2 linked regions of the Arabidopsis thaliana genome follow. The protein of the gene in region 2 interacts with the protein of the main gene of each other region in a pairwise test. Each region holds a gene or a part of one and is shown on either strand. Other genes may lie near its edges.

What was found. Proteins that work in one complex are often made in the same cells at the same time.
Region 1: the proteins of U2AF35B (region 2) and AT4G00870 interact in binary tests that used the Arabidopsis thaliana proteins (3 or more experiments, as listed by UniProt).

Annotation. Positions count from the first base shown.
Region 1 is NC_003075.7:360,336-366,079, reverse strand, and holds AT4G00870 (basic helix-loop-helix (bHLH) DNA-binding superfamily protein), read left to right. Parts: upstream 1-2,370; 5' UTR 2,371-2,440; coding exon 2,441-2,701; intron 2,702-2,839; coding exon 2,840-3,850; 3' UTR 3,851-4,147; downstream 4,148-5,744. Other genes in the region: AT4G00872 (Plant invertase/pectin methylesterase inhibitor superfamily protein), read left to right, coding at 1,344-1,564, 1,639-1,933.
Region 2 is NC_003076.8:17,168,910-17,175,341, forward strand, and holds U2AF35B (Zinc finger C-x8-C-x5-C-x3-H type family protein), read right to left. Parts: upstream 3,879-6,432; 5' UTR 3,349-3,878; coding exon of another isoform or gene 3,055-3,348; 5' UTR 2,671-3,054; intron 2,394-2,670; 5' UTR 2,388-2,393; coding exon 1,536-2,387; 3' UTR 1,182-1,535; downstream 1-1,181. Other genes in the region: IPK1 (inositol-pentakisphosphate 2-kinase 1), read left to right, coding at 1-60, 279-428; AT5G42825 (uncharacterized protein), read left to right, coding at 3,055-3,348. UniProt on the Arabidopsis thaliana protein: Necessary for the splicing of pre-mRNA. Probably active at the 3' splice sites.

The DNA.
Region 1 (5,744 bases), on a different chromosome or scaffold from region 2:
ATACAAGATTTTGAAGTTCCTCCAAAGTGAGTTACAAAAGATGAAATTTGGCAATGAAAATTTATAAAAACTTCAAAAGTGGAAGCCTTTCACTGGAGGCCAATGGACTGATTCTATCGGCTTTGCCAAACTATTCTACAACAGGTTAATCATTTGGAGAAGAAAGTAATTTAGTGGTTATTTCACATATATACCACCATTCATCAATATAACTTCTATGTTACGTTTCCGTTCATAAAGATATGTGAAAACGAAGTTCCTGTAAATGAATGATTAAGTTAAGAAATTTATTCGCTAAATCTATAAATTCATCTGATCAACATTGTTGTCTACGCAATTGTTGTTCATTAAATCTTTACGGTCACAAAAATAACAACCTCATGATATGTTAGAAAAACTTTAATCATACACTTGCAAAAAAAAGTGAAGCAAAATCTACCATAAATATGCAATTGTGCAGTGGTCTTCTCCTCTTAATTTTGTTTGAAGTACGTATATTCGAAACTTTATTTCGATTATAATTTTTCGTACGATTCTTTATAAGTAAAGCAAAATAATGATGGATTGAAGAATCTTGAAAATGGAAAGAAATGGACGAGAGGCTTTTGACCATTTGTATGGCCAGAATAACAACACTCACTACCAAATACAATAACGTGATTTTGTTTAATAGATTAGATGCGGTAGGAATATATTATTCTTCGTGAACTAAAACCATGTTTTATAACGACAAAAAAAAACCCATGTTTTATAAGTTTATGGGCCAAAATTGGGCTTTTGTATTATAAACATGTTTACGGAAGTATTCAGCTAAGTATATATAAAAAAAAACAATTACACTAATTTATTTAAATTTTATTATTACCTACTTACAATTAGTAAAATTTAAAATTAACAAAAAAAAAACTTTTACTTACTTTTAGTTATTGTTTTAAGAAAAAACATCATTAATTACCCTACTTTTTTTTTTAATACTAGGAGGTTCTAAGCCAAAACATCTTAATTATTATATTGTTTATATGTCTAATAATATCCATAAATGTATTAAAAAAACTTAAAACATAAACTAAAGGGTAATAGATCATAATATTATTGAATGGAGTAAGAAAATGTATAAATTATAATTCAAAAAGAGAACTATAATCTGCTTTTCTACCCAAATGAAGTAAAATAAGACATCAATTTGCATTTCAATGGTCAGTTTTAAAGGTAAAATTAAAGACGTTAAACACGTGTAATGTAAAAGAGATCACTCATGAGTCATGACCAACCATATTCTTAGTTTATATAAGTAATTCACACCCCTTAAAAAGAAATATAGTCTATAATCAATCATACTTAGCATGAAAACGATGATCAAGTTTCTGCTGTTAATACTGGTGATCTCTCCTATGTCGATATGCGCCGAGAAGGACATGATGATAAATGAATGCCACAATGCAGACGTCCCAGCCATATGCATGCAATGTCTTGAATCCGACCCAAACTCCATTCACGCCGACCATATAGGCATAGCTGGCATCGTCATAAACTGTCTTGAATCCCACCTCCATATCATCACCAAGCAAGTTTTCACTTACAAATTATAACCAATATACAGAAATATCCTCTAATATATCAATTTTTTCATTTGTGTAGTAACATAACGAATTTATCGTCAAAGAAAGATAAAGGTGAAGTGAAAACAGCTCTGGAGATTTGCAAAAAAGACTTGTCGACGAATGCATCTACAATACTGTCGGAAGCCAAAACAAGTTTGAAAACCGGTGATTATGATAAAACCAACAAATCGATAAAGCTTGCGCTTGGCTTTCCTCTGAGATGTATGTTCAATCTCAAACGTGTCAAGTTCACGTCTCCCCAACTATTTAGTCAAATCAATATCTATGCTCAACTCTCTGACGCTGCTATGAGGATCATTGATCGCTTCTAATAAGTAATAACTCCTTATTGTTTTCTATATAACTCAACTTCGATCAATGCTTACCCCAATTTGAATAAATCATTTCCTTTATGAAATTTATAAAGTCACATATATCCATTTGTTGTAGCTCTCATGTTTTTTTTTTCTTTTCAAATTTGTCAAAATAAGTTTTCGTTTGAACCATCATTCAATATAAATCTAAATGATATATTGTCTTTTTTTTTTTTTTTTTTTTGGCAAAGAATGATATATTGTCTATTTCATCAAAGTTGGACCACTATACGATAAATTGTTGTTCTTATAACGTTAAAGTAGGAAAACAGTTCAGTTTTCACGTGACTAACTTACTACTATTGGAATATTTATCATAAACTTTAATTCACGAAAATCATTAATGAAAATTTGATATTACTACTATAATATCGTCTTCTCTATTAATTTAGAATCTTATTCATCCTTTTCCACTTGTCTTCTCTAACCCTCTAAATTCTCTTTGGTCGGGATCACTGGAAAGAAATGTATAATCTCACTTTCTCTCCATCATTGTCCTCTTCTTTGCTCTCTTTTACACAACAAACTCCTGCAGCCATAGTGTCCTCTTCTCCTCCGGATTTAGTACTTCAACAAAAACTCCGGTTTGTCGTGGAAACCTCACCGGACCGATGGGCTTATGTCATTTTTTGGCAAAAGATGTTTGATGATCAATCGGACCGGTCTTACTTGGTTTGGGTTGATGGTCATTTCTGTGGAAACAAGAACAACAATTCCCAAGAAAATGTTCATTTTTCTTTGCCTCTTATGTTATCTAATCAAAATATCCAAAATTTATTTAAATCAACTTCTTAAAAAAGTTCTATTAAGAAAATAATATAATTTTCCTTACCCTTGATTTTTTGTTTTTGTTTCTTTCTTAAGTATACAACAAACAGCATCGAGTGTGAGCTGATGATGGACGGTGGAGATGATCTGGAGTTGTTCTATGCCGCATCGTTTTACGGTGAAGATAGATCGCCGAGAAAGGAAGTATCCGATGAATCTTTGGTTTGGTTAACCGGTCCCGACGAGCTCCGGTTTAGCAACTACGAGAGGGCTAAAGAAGCCGGTTTTCACGGGGTACACACATTGGTCTCCATACCCATCAACAATGGCATTATCGAACTTGGTTCGTCTGAATCAATTATACAAAACCGGAACTTTATAAACCGAGTCAAGTCCATATTCGGGTCGGGTAAAACAACAAAACACACTAACCAAACCGGTTCTTACCCTAAACCGGCGGTATCAGATCATTCGAAAAGCGGAAATCAGCAATTCGGGTCGGAAAGAAAACGGAGGAGGAAACTTGAGACGACAAGGGTAGCTGCGGCGACGAAAGAGAAACATCATCCGGCGGTTTTGTCCCACGTGGAAGCGGAGAAGCAACGGAGAGAGAAGCTAAACCACCGGTTTTACGCTCTACGTGCCATCGTACCAAAAGTGTCACGAATGGACAAAGCGTCACTTTTATCCGACGCAGTTTCGTACATAGAAAGTCTTAAATCCAAAATCGATGATCTCGAAACTGAGATCAAGAAAATGAAGATGACGGAGACAGATAAATTAGACAACAGCAGCAGCAATACGTCTCCGTCTTCCGTTGAGTACCAAGTTAACCAGAAACCTTCAAAATCAAACAGAGGCTCTGACTTGGAAGTGCAAGTGAAGATCGTCGGAGAAGAAGCCATAATTAGGGTTCAGACAGAGAATGTGAACCATCCTACGTCGGCATTGATGAGTGCGTTAATGGAAATGGATTGTCGTGTACAACACGCGAACGCGTCGCGCTTGAGTCAGGTTATGGTTCAAGATGTTGTTGTTTTGGTTCCAGAAGGATTAAGATCGGAAGATAGGCTTAGGACCACACTTGTCCGAACCCTAAGCCTATAACAATTTCTTTGTTTTGTGACGTCAACATAGGATGTGATAATAATTTTTGTTTTTTTTTGCGACCTTTTGTTTTATTTGATAAGTACTAGAAAAATCAAATTCCTTCTAGCGATTAATGTTGTTTTATCAAAAGTTTGATCTCGTTGATACGTAGTTTATGTGTTACTTTTTTACTTTATTTCTCGTACGTACGTACTAGCTCGCTAAAAGCGCAAAGTGTTTGGTATATTGTCTTACTAAAACAATATAGAGACTGTATATTTTAAAAGAAACAACTCATTAATTGATCATTTGGAAATATTAGTTTGAAAACCATAGAGAAGACGGAGGAATTATAGACACACACACGCTTGTCCTATAATATTTAGGACCACTCTTCAGTGATAGCTTGCTAACAAATCAAGTCAATTACGTAATGAACTACCAATGCTTTATATTAATTATTCTTGGACGTACTGTTATATTAAGACACTGATTGGTTAATTTGGGGAAAAAATATTAGTACAATGCACAGAAAAATAAAGGGTACAATAATGTTGAGAAAAAAAAGTGGTACAATAATGCAAAGAGAAGAAAAGGGTACAATAATGCAATTGAATTGTATCTTTCTTATTTTGTTTGCTAATTACTAATTGCAAAAAATGTTTTTGTGCTTGAAAAAGTAATCATTCTGTATCTAACATTCACATATAAAACAGAACTAAACAATTTTGCATTTACTTAATGAGACAAAAATGTTTTGTTTTATTTGATGATCATGGTTTTATGTTTTTCTAAAAGAAATTAAAATATGTTATGCAACAAACTATCATGTGTCTATGTATACATAACCTATGATACAATATAGTTTCGACCTTAAGATTAAGTTTCTTTGACAGAAAGTCAGAAACAGTTATCTTTCACATGATCCCTTCTTCAATCCTGCTGCAACGATGTAACGGTTATGCAAAAATTTACTGATAGGTAAATCACATGAAAAATGGCCACATGCAAAAATTATGCCCGGTTCCAACTTCTAGGTTAATATGGTACTCAACAACAAAAAAAAATATTAACAATAAATACGTGTTTGTCTTCTTCTTCTTTATAGATGTTTCACTTTATAAATAGACTGTAAGTTTTTAAAACGCAATAAGAAAAACAACTGAAATCATTTTAGAAATCTTATGCGTGCAGAATAAATATTGGTGTTATGTGCATTTGAAGCTTTAGGCTTTAGCACTTTCTAAAACCTCGTTTTGAGCAAAGTCATTCAAAAGGAACTCTTAATATTTTTACAAATTGAAATAGCAATTGTAATTTAATCAGTAAAACCTCTATAAATTATCATGTTTATTAATTTATAGAGACAATATTTGGGCTAAAATATCAATTTGAGAACGGAAGAAAATTATTAATTTAATGAGATATTAATTTATTGAATATTAATTTATAGATTTTTGACTGTATATATTCTAAGCTTTGTTTTAAGAAAATTTAATCCGTTTAAAAAGATTTATCTTCATTAACCCCAAAAGAAATGATTTGTTTTAGCTTGGCCAATAGTCATGTATGGCCCAATCTGGTATAAAATCTCATAAAAAGTTTTATCTTCATTAACCCAAAGAAATGATTTGTATTAAGATGGGCCAATAGTCAAGTGTGGCCCAATTAGGAGTAAAATCTCATAAACGAAATGGGCCCATAATGGCCCAATATTTGTACACCACAATCGGAAACCCCTTTTGGGTCATTTCAAGTTTGACGAGAAACGTAAATCGCTATTTCTTCTATTCCTCCCTAAAAATCTACCAACGAGATTCTTCTCGAAAATTTCCTGCGCCTCTCCGTGTCTGTGAAATCGATTCAGGTAAATCACTCTTCTCGAATCGATGCTTGTTTTGTGAAATACCGA
Region 2 (6,432 bases):
TCAGAACCCTCGGGTGATTACGTCTCTCTAAAACCGACCAATCAAACGTTTGATTACAAGGTATGATCCATTTTAACACATTCTTGTCTTATATGGTGAAAGAACTATTAATAATATTTGCTGAGATCATTGGTACAATTCTCTAAAAATAAAATGTGGGATCCGCGAATCATTATAAGAACAGAAATTTCCTTAGAAAACGTTGAGTTCTCAGGAACCATATAATCGGTTTCTTCATTTTGTTATATTTGTTTGATATTTGATTTATGTAACTGTAGGTACATTTCATTGATCTAAGCCTGAAACCACTTAAGAGAATGGAGTCATACTACAAATTGGATAAGAAGATAATTAGCTTTTACAATCGGAAGCAGAAAGCCGAAAACACGGCAGAACAAATCGGCAACTCAAAACCTTCCCACAGCTAAGTCATGTATCGTCTCAATACCACTAGCTCTCTTTTTTTTGGTTACTGTTGTTGTAGAACATAATAAAGAAAGCCCTAAAAGATGAATGTTCATTTCTTAAACTTAAAATTTGTTGGAACTATATCTCCTTCACTCTATATCTCTTTCTCTCCCTGGTCTTCTCTCGGCATGGAGCCGTTGCCTGGAGATATTTTACTGTTCCAGAATGCTCTCTGTCAAGTTTTGCCAGAATTGCTTGTACATACAAAGATGGTGGAGCTTAGCCACTGTTGTTGCTCCTTCTATGGAAAATTTTGTCAGCGGTTTTCCGATATACTGTCTCCCCACTCTCTCACAAAAGATAGTATCTTTGGGGTGGCAGACCCATGGACCGTCCCTCCTCTCCCACTGAATCACAACCATGAGATCTCTTTGGCGGCATACTACAACACAACAAAAAGGATAAGTCATATAATCCCATCTACTTAAGTTTTAGCAAGTGATTGAACCAATTCCTAACATCTTTTGCGACACATTTACTTAATAAAACATTGAAAATGGTTTCCCGTAGCATCATGAACCATGCTCTGATACCACACTTGTAAATAATAACTTTTTGAGTTATCGAGAACAAAATCCATTAAACATGAAAAGTGGACACTAACAATAATAAAACTGACTAGGGCTTGGCATTCGAATACACGCTCCGATACGCTTCGGGTTTTTTGGGTTTAGGCTCATAGCACCCATTCGGGTATTTATAATATTTGGGTTAATATTTGGGTTGGGTTCGGTTTCTTCATTCAATCCACCCAAAAAAATCGTACAACATTTATCTCTTTCCCCGAACAATACAAAGTGTTTAAACCTTATAAGAAGACATTGCAAGGGACAATCATAAAGAACAATAACCAAGGGATCATTACCACATTAACTTAGAAAAACTGAACCCATCATTTGCCTCACGAACTAGTTTCTAAACAAAAATTCTACAAAATACAGTAAACACCTTACATCATCTAAGGAGTTCATGCCACTCATTTTTCAAGTTCAAAAAAAGAACACCAAATGAATATCCATTACAAGATTTTACCGATTTTTATGAAGTAATCAGCCCAAACGATACCCTTAAACTCCCTCATCACGTTCTCGGTTCCATTGCTCAATTCTCGCCCTCCTTTCCTCGCTTCCTTCTCTCACATTTCGTGGGCTTCTGCTCCGTTTCGGGCTTCCATGTCTCCTCCTTCCACCACCATCCCGATCATGCCTCTCTGATCTATCACTGCTCCTTTTCCCATTTCCATGCCGGTCACGGTCCCTAACGTCCCCTCTCTCTCGCTCTCGCGAATGCTCTCTCTTACGTCGAGGGCTTATACTCCTGCTTCGACTTCTGCTTCCCCGACGGTATGAACGACGATACCTCCCAAACAATTTCCTCCTAAGCTCCCTCGAAATCTGCTTCACATGCATGAAATTACAGTACCCACCACGGTTACAGCTGTTTTCTTCATACTGCCTACAAGTAGCTTCCCTAAAATCCGTCACAGGAGAGAAATCAGCAATGATAGGACGACCGGAATAAAATCTCCCCTGCAAAGCCTGCAACGCAGCAGCTGCGTGATCCTCCTCCTTAAACAGAACATACACATTCCCAATCATATGATCAGCAAGATTGTCACAAACATTGAGACTCTCCACTTCACCAAACTTGTTGAGTTCTTCGAAAATATCTTCGTAGAAATCCTCAAAGTGGTCTTGGATCTTACTCGGGTCTAACGGCTGTCCCTGAGGATCCACACCTGGAGTTATCATGTCAGGTCTCTGGTACATGTTCGAGAGGAGAAGCGTCGGCGAGATGGTGGGACGGTTATGAAGCCGTGAGCACCGGTCACCGTGACGACAAGCACCAATCTTAAAGTAAAACGGACAATTCACTCTATCCTTTTCAGTACCAAAGATTGAAGCTAAATGCTCTGCCATTCTCACCTAAACATAACAAAAATCAAATTCAACTAAACACAAATTGTTCTTCTACGCTTATATGATAAATCAAATCACTACAAGAACGATTCAGAATCAGAGACGAGAACCAAATCTAAGCTTATAAACGAGAGTTAACACAAAATCAAAGAGAATCAAATCAATGAACGAATCAGAATCATGAATCGTTGTCAAATCTAAAACAGATCGAGACGTTTCTAGTCATCGAGTGGAGATGAGAATCCGAAACGGAGAGAGAGATTGATTAGAGGAAGAAGAATACCGAAGAGGATTTTCTTTTAGTGGAAGAGAAGCTATCGCCGACGAGGAGGTGCCGTTGCCGATCACGATCTAGGGTTTAGGTTTATTTGATTAGCGACTCGTGTGAGCCGGAGAGAGAGAGAGAGTGTGGTGAAAAAAAGAGAAAGAGATATTAATATGGGTTTATTTTGCAAATAAACTATTCTACAAGGAGGAATAATAAAATAAACTATAGAAAGTTACAATATTGGTCCTCGTCAAAATCGTCATAACATAACGAGGATTTTAAGATTGATCCTTTTGTTGCTCCGGCTCAGAACCGAATAAACCAAACTAAACTGAACTGGATTGGAAGGAAACGAACAGAACTAGATAATTAATATCTGAATGATTTTTTTAAAAAAATATGGGAATAAAAAGAGCTAAAGCTTCTCTCTCTCTTCTCTCTCACAAAACCTTCAGAGAGGGAAAGCTTTTTGTCTCCACCTACAAGAATTTTCCGATGATAGCCGTTCCAAATAATTTGGGCTTTTGCCCGGTATCTTCTAGCTCTTTTAGTGGAGATGACCGGTTCCCGTACGGCAAATCCTGCTTTCATAAGAGGTTTTGGCCGCTTGTATCCTTGCTCGTAGTCAATCAGTTTTATGCTGATTGCTTTGATATTTTAGTTTTGTTTTTCAATAAATCTCAACAGATTTGAGATGGTAATTAGTTTTAGGTGCTAGTTACTTAAGATTAATTTCTGTCTTGTGTCTTTAGAAACTTCGATTTGCAGAAATCTATCAAGCGATTATGTCTTCGGGTTGAAAGATTGAAGAATATTCCGATGCTTATTATGATTCCTTTTTGCTGTGTCTTTTAAATGGAGCACCGTTCAGTTTTATTTCGGTGGTTACAAGGATTCATTGTGCGATGTTTCGGCGATGCATTCCTCACCGGATTCGGTGTTCATCGGCGGCGAAGGTTGATGTCGGTACACTTCCGATGACTCTTCATCTTGTGTTGCAGTTGTAATATCACGTGGACACGTGTATTGGATAGAGTCCAAATGTCAAAACATCTTTATGCCGTAGATGTTAATCTTATGGGCTATGTTGGGCCTAACTTTTCTTTCTGCACATATCGTTGTAAGCTTTAATGCTTTGTTTCCTCTTTTGGTGGTTAATATAATACACTTATGAGAAGAAAAAAAAAAAATATGGGAATAAAATTAAAAATAAATTAAAAATCTAGTGAATGTCAGACTTATCTGAAATACAATTATATATCTAAAATGTTATTCTTAATTATATTTCAAATAATCAAGATAGCCAAATTTATAATTTATAATTTAAAGATATTAGTTATGTTTACACTCAAAATAACCAAACTATCTGAAATAACTGAAATATCTGAATGTTTTTAGAATACTTGAAATATTTAACCAAATTATATTTGTCAAATTAAATACTTGAATACAATCTCCAAATAATTGAATACTTAAATACAATTTTCAAATGAGGTTTTTTTTTATATGAAATGTTAAATTTATTTGATCAATGGTAAAATGAGGTTATTTACAAAATGAGTAAAATAAAAAATGGAAAATCTATGAAATTCTGTTTGAACAAAATAGTTAGAGAGTCATTAATTTTAACCTCCACATGTTCAGGATGCCCTCTAACAGCAGCTTTCATTGGTAAAGAAAGTATTGCTCATTTAAGGTTCTTACGAGTATGTTGTTAAACATTTTTGTTTCGTACATATCCCTAGACTTAAATTTAGGTGATCAATCTACTTTTAACATTAAAAAACCTAGATGTAAAATCAAATAAGTATCCGTGGTTAAATATATTTACCCGATCATTCCATAAGTTTTTATCGAACCCTTAAATTCAATAATGTAACTAGTGACACATACCAAAAAACGGTCACACAAGATCTTATAAATTTAAGAGATATTATTAGAATAAGTAAAATTTATACGAAAAGTGAAAATAGATATTTAAAAATTAAATCATATGAGAACTAATACGCAATTGCACCATTAAACCATTCTTCTTAATTTTGAAAGTCATTTTCCTCGATGTATACTTAACTAAGTGTTTTATTTTCTCCCTCTTAGTATGTGTATATATATAGTACGGTGTTGTCATCTTCATCGATCAACTTCAATAATAAATTTTAGTACATCCTTAGCTAAACCAGTACTATACCAAAATTCAAGAGTCAATTTTTTTGCTTTTTTAAATAGAAGAAAATTTTATATATTTCTTTGTTTACATGAATAATTTCTAACAATCCCATTAACTTTGACTAGTAAGAATTAATTTGAATAATAATAGTATATATACATATATATATAAATATATATTTGTTTGTTTACGTGAATAATTTCTAACAATCCCATTAACTTTGACTAGTAAGAATTAATTTGAAAAACAATAATATATATATATTAAAAGTTATACTAAAACTTTTAATATTTGTAGGAATGCCCTACAGATATAAAACATTTATGCCCTTTATTTGTTTTTTGCATAATCAAAAAATTAATAGTATATAAAAGTTATACTAAAACTTTATAGATTTTTTTTTTTGAACTTTATAAGCATTTTGTAAGCAAAAAAATAGGAAAAAAAAACAAAATTATATTTTTTAAATATACCTCTATTTAGATTTTTACCTCCAAAACCATTCATCAAATTCACGTAATCGAGTTTTTCAAACATAATTGTCTTAATGGATAGCAAAGCCAACTCATTTATTTGATTAATAAAAACAAAGTTTTTATTTTGTAATCAAAGTTCAAGCACCTTACATTAGAAAGTCTTTGACTTTTTTTTTGTAATCAAAATTTTAGAGTTTAAGGTTTTATTTTTCTTAAATCTAAAATTTTACTAAACTAAATTCATTAATAAGACATTTTATTAATTTAAAAAGATGAAAAAAAGATAGTAAATGAAAAGTTTAACAAATATAAATATATAGAAAAATGCTTATAATTGATTTTTTTTATAACATAAAAGTCTTAAAACTTTTTTATAAAAATATGCTCCTCTACTATAATGTCCTAAGCCGTGGCTTCACTTGATTGTGTAGAATGTCGAACCTGGCTACGAAGCACCTAATAATGTTAGACATTTTGACGTGGTAGGAGTTGTGAAACGTCTGACTTTTTCTTCAGGCATTGGTATTCCTAAAAATTATACATGTGGCCGCAAAACTGCACTTGTTCCGCCCAGAGTATACAACACTTGCTAAAGATGTAAGTGAGTTTAGTTTAAATTAATTTTATATCGTGTGAACTAAGATATCTTAAAAATAATTATTTCAGTGAATTCCATCCTTTTTTTTAAGAAATTTATCGTGGGTCAAAATATATGAGCTCTTTTTACAAGGGAGTAATAGATGTGATGGTTTGTAAGACTAGAATAGCGAAAGGGGAGTTTGTTGCGTTCGTGAAGTTGCCTTGCTCAAAAGTGGAATCTCTATATGTCTCATTAGACATTTTGCTAATCCAAGCGAAACGAAAGGTGCGTGGTGGTCGTCGTCTTACTGATCCCGACACAAAGTTAGCTACGCATACGCGTTTGTTAATAGATTTTGTAGCTTTTGCTCCTCCTAAATAGTCTTTTGCTCAAATGTTACCCACGTTGAGGAAAATTGTAGGGTTTAACAGAAAATTCTAACGGAACGTTAACTCTGTTTACGAAAATTTCACGGCATGTCCGAATTGGCCCAGTCAATAAAACTTGACCATTTTATCAAAGAATAAAAAAAATATGATTTAAATAACATTTCG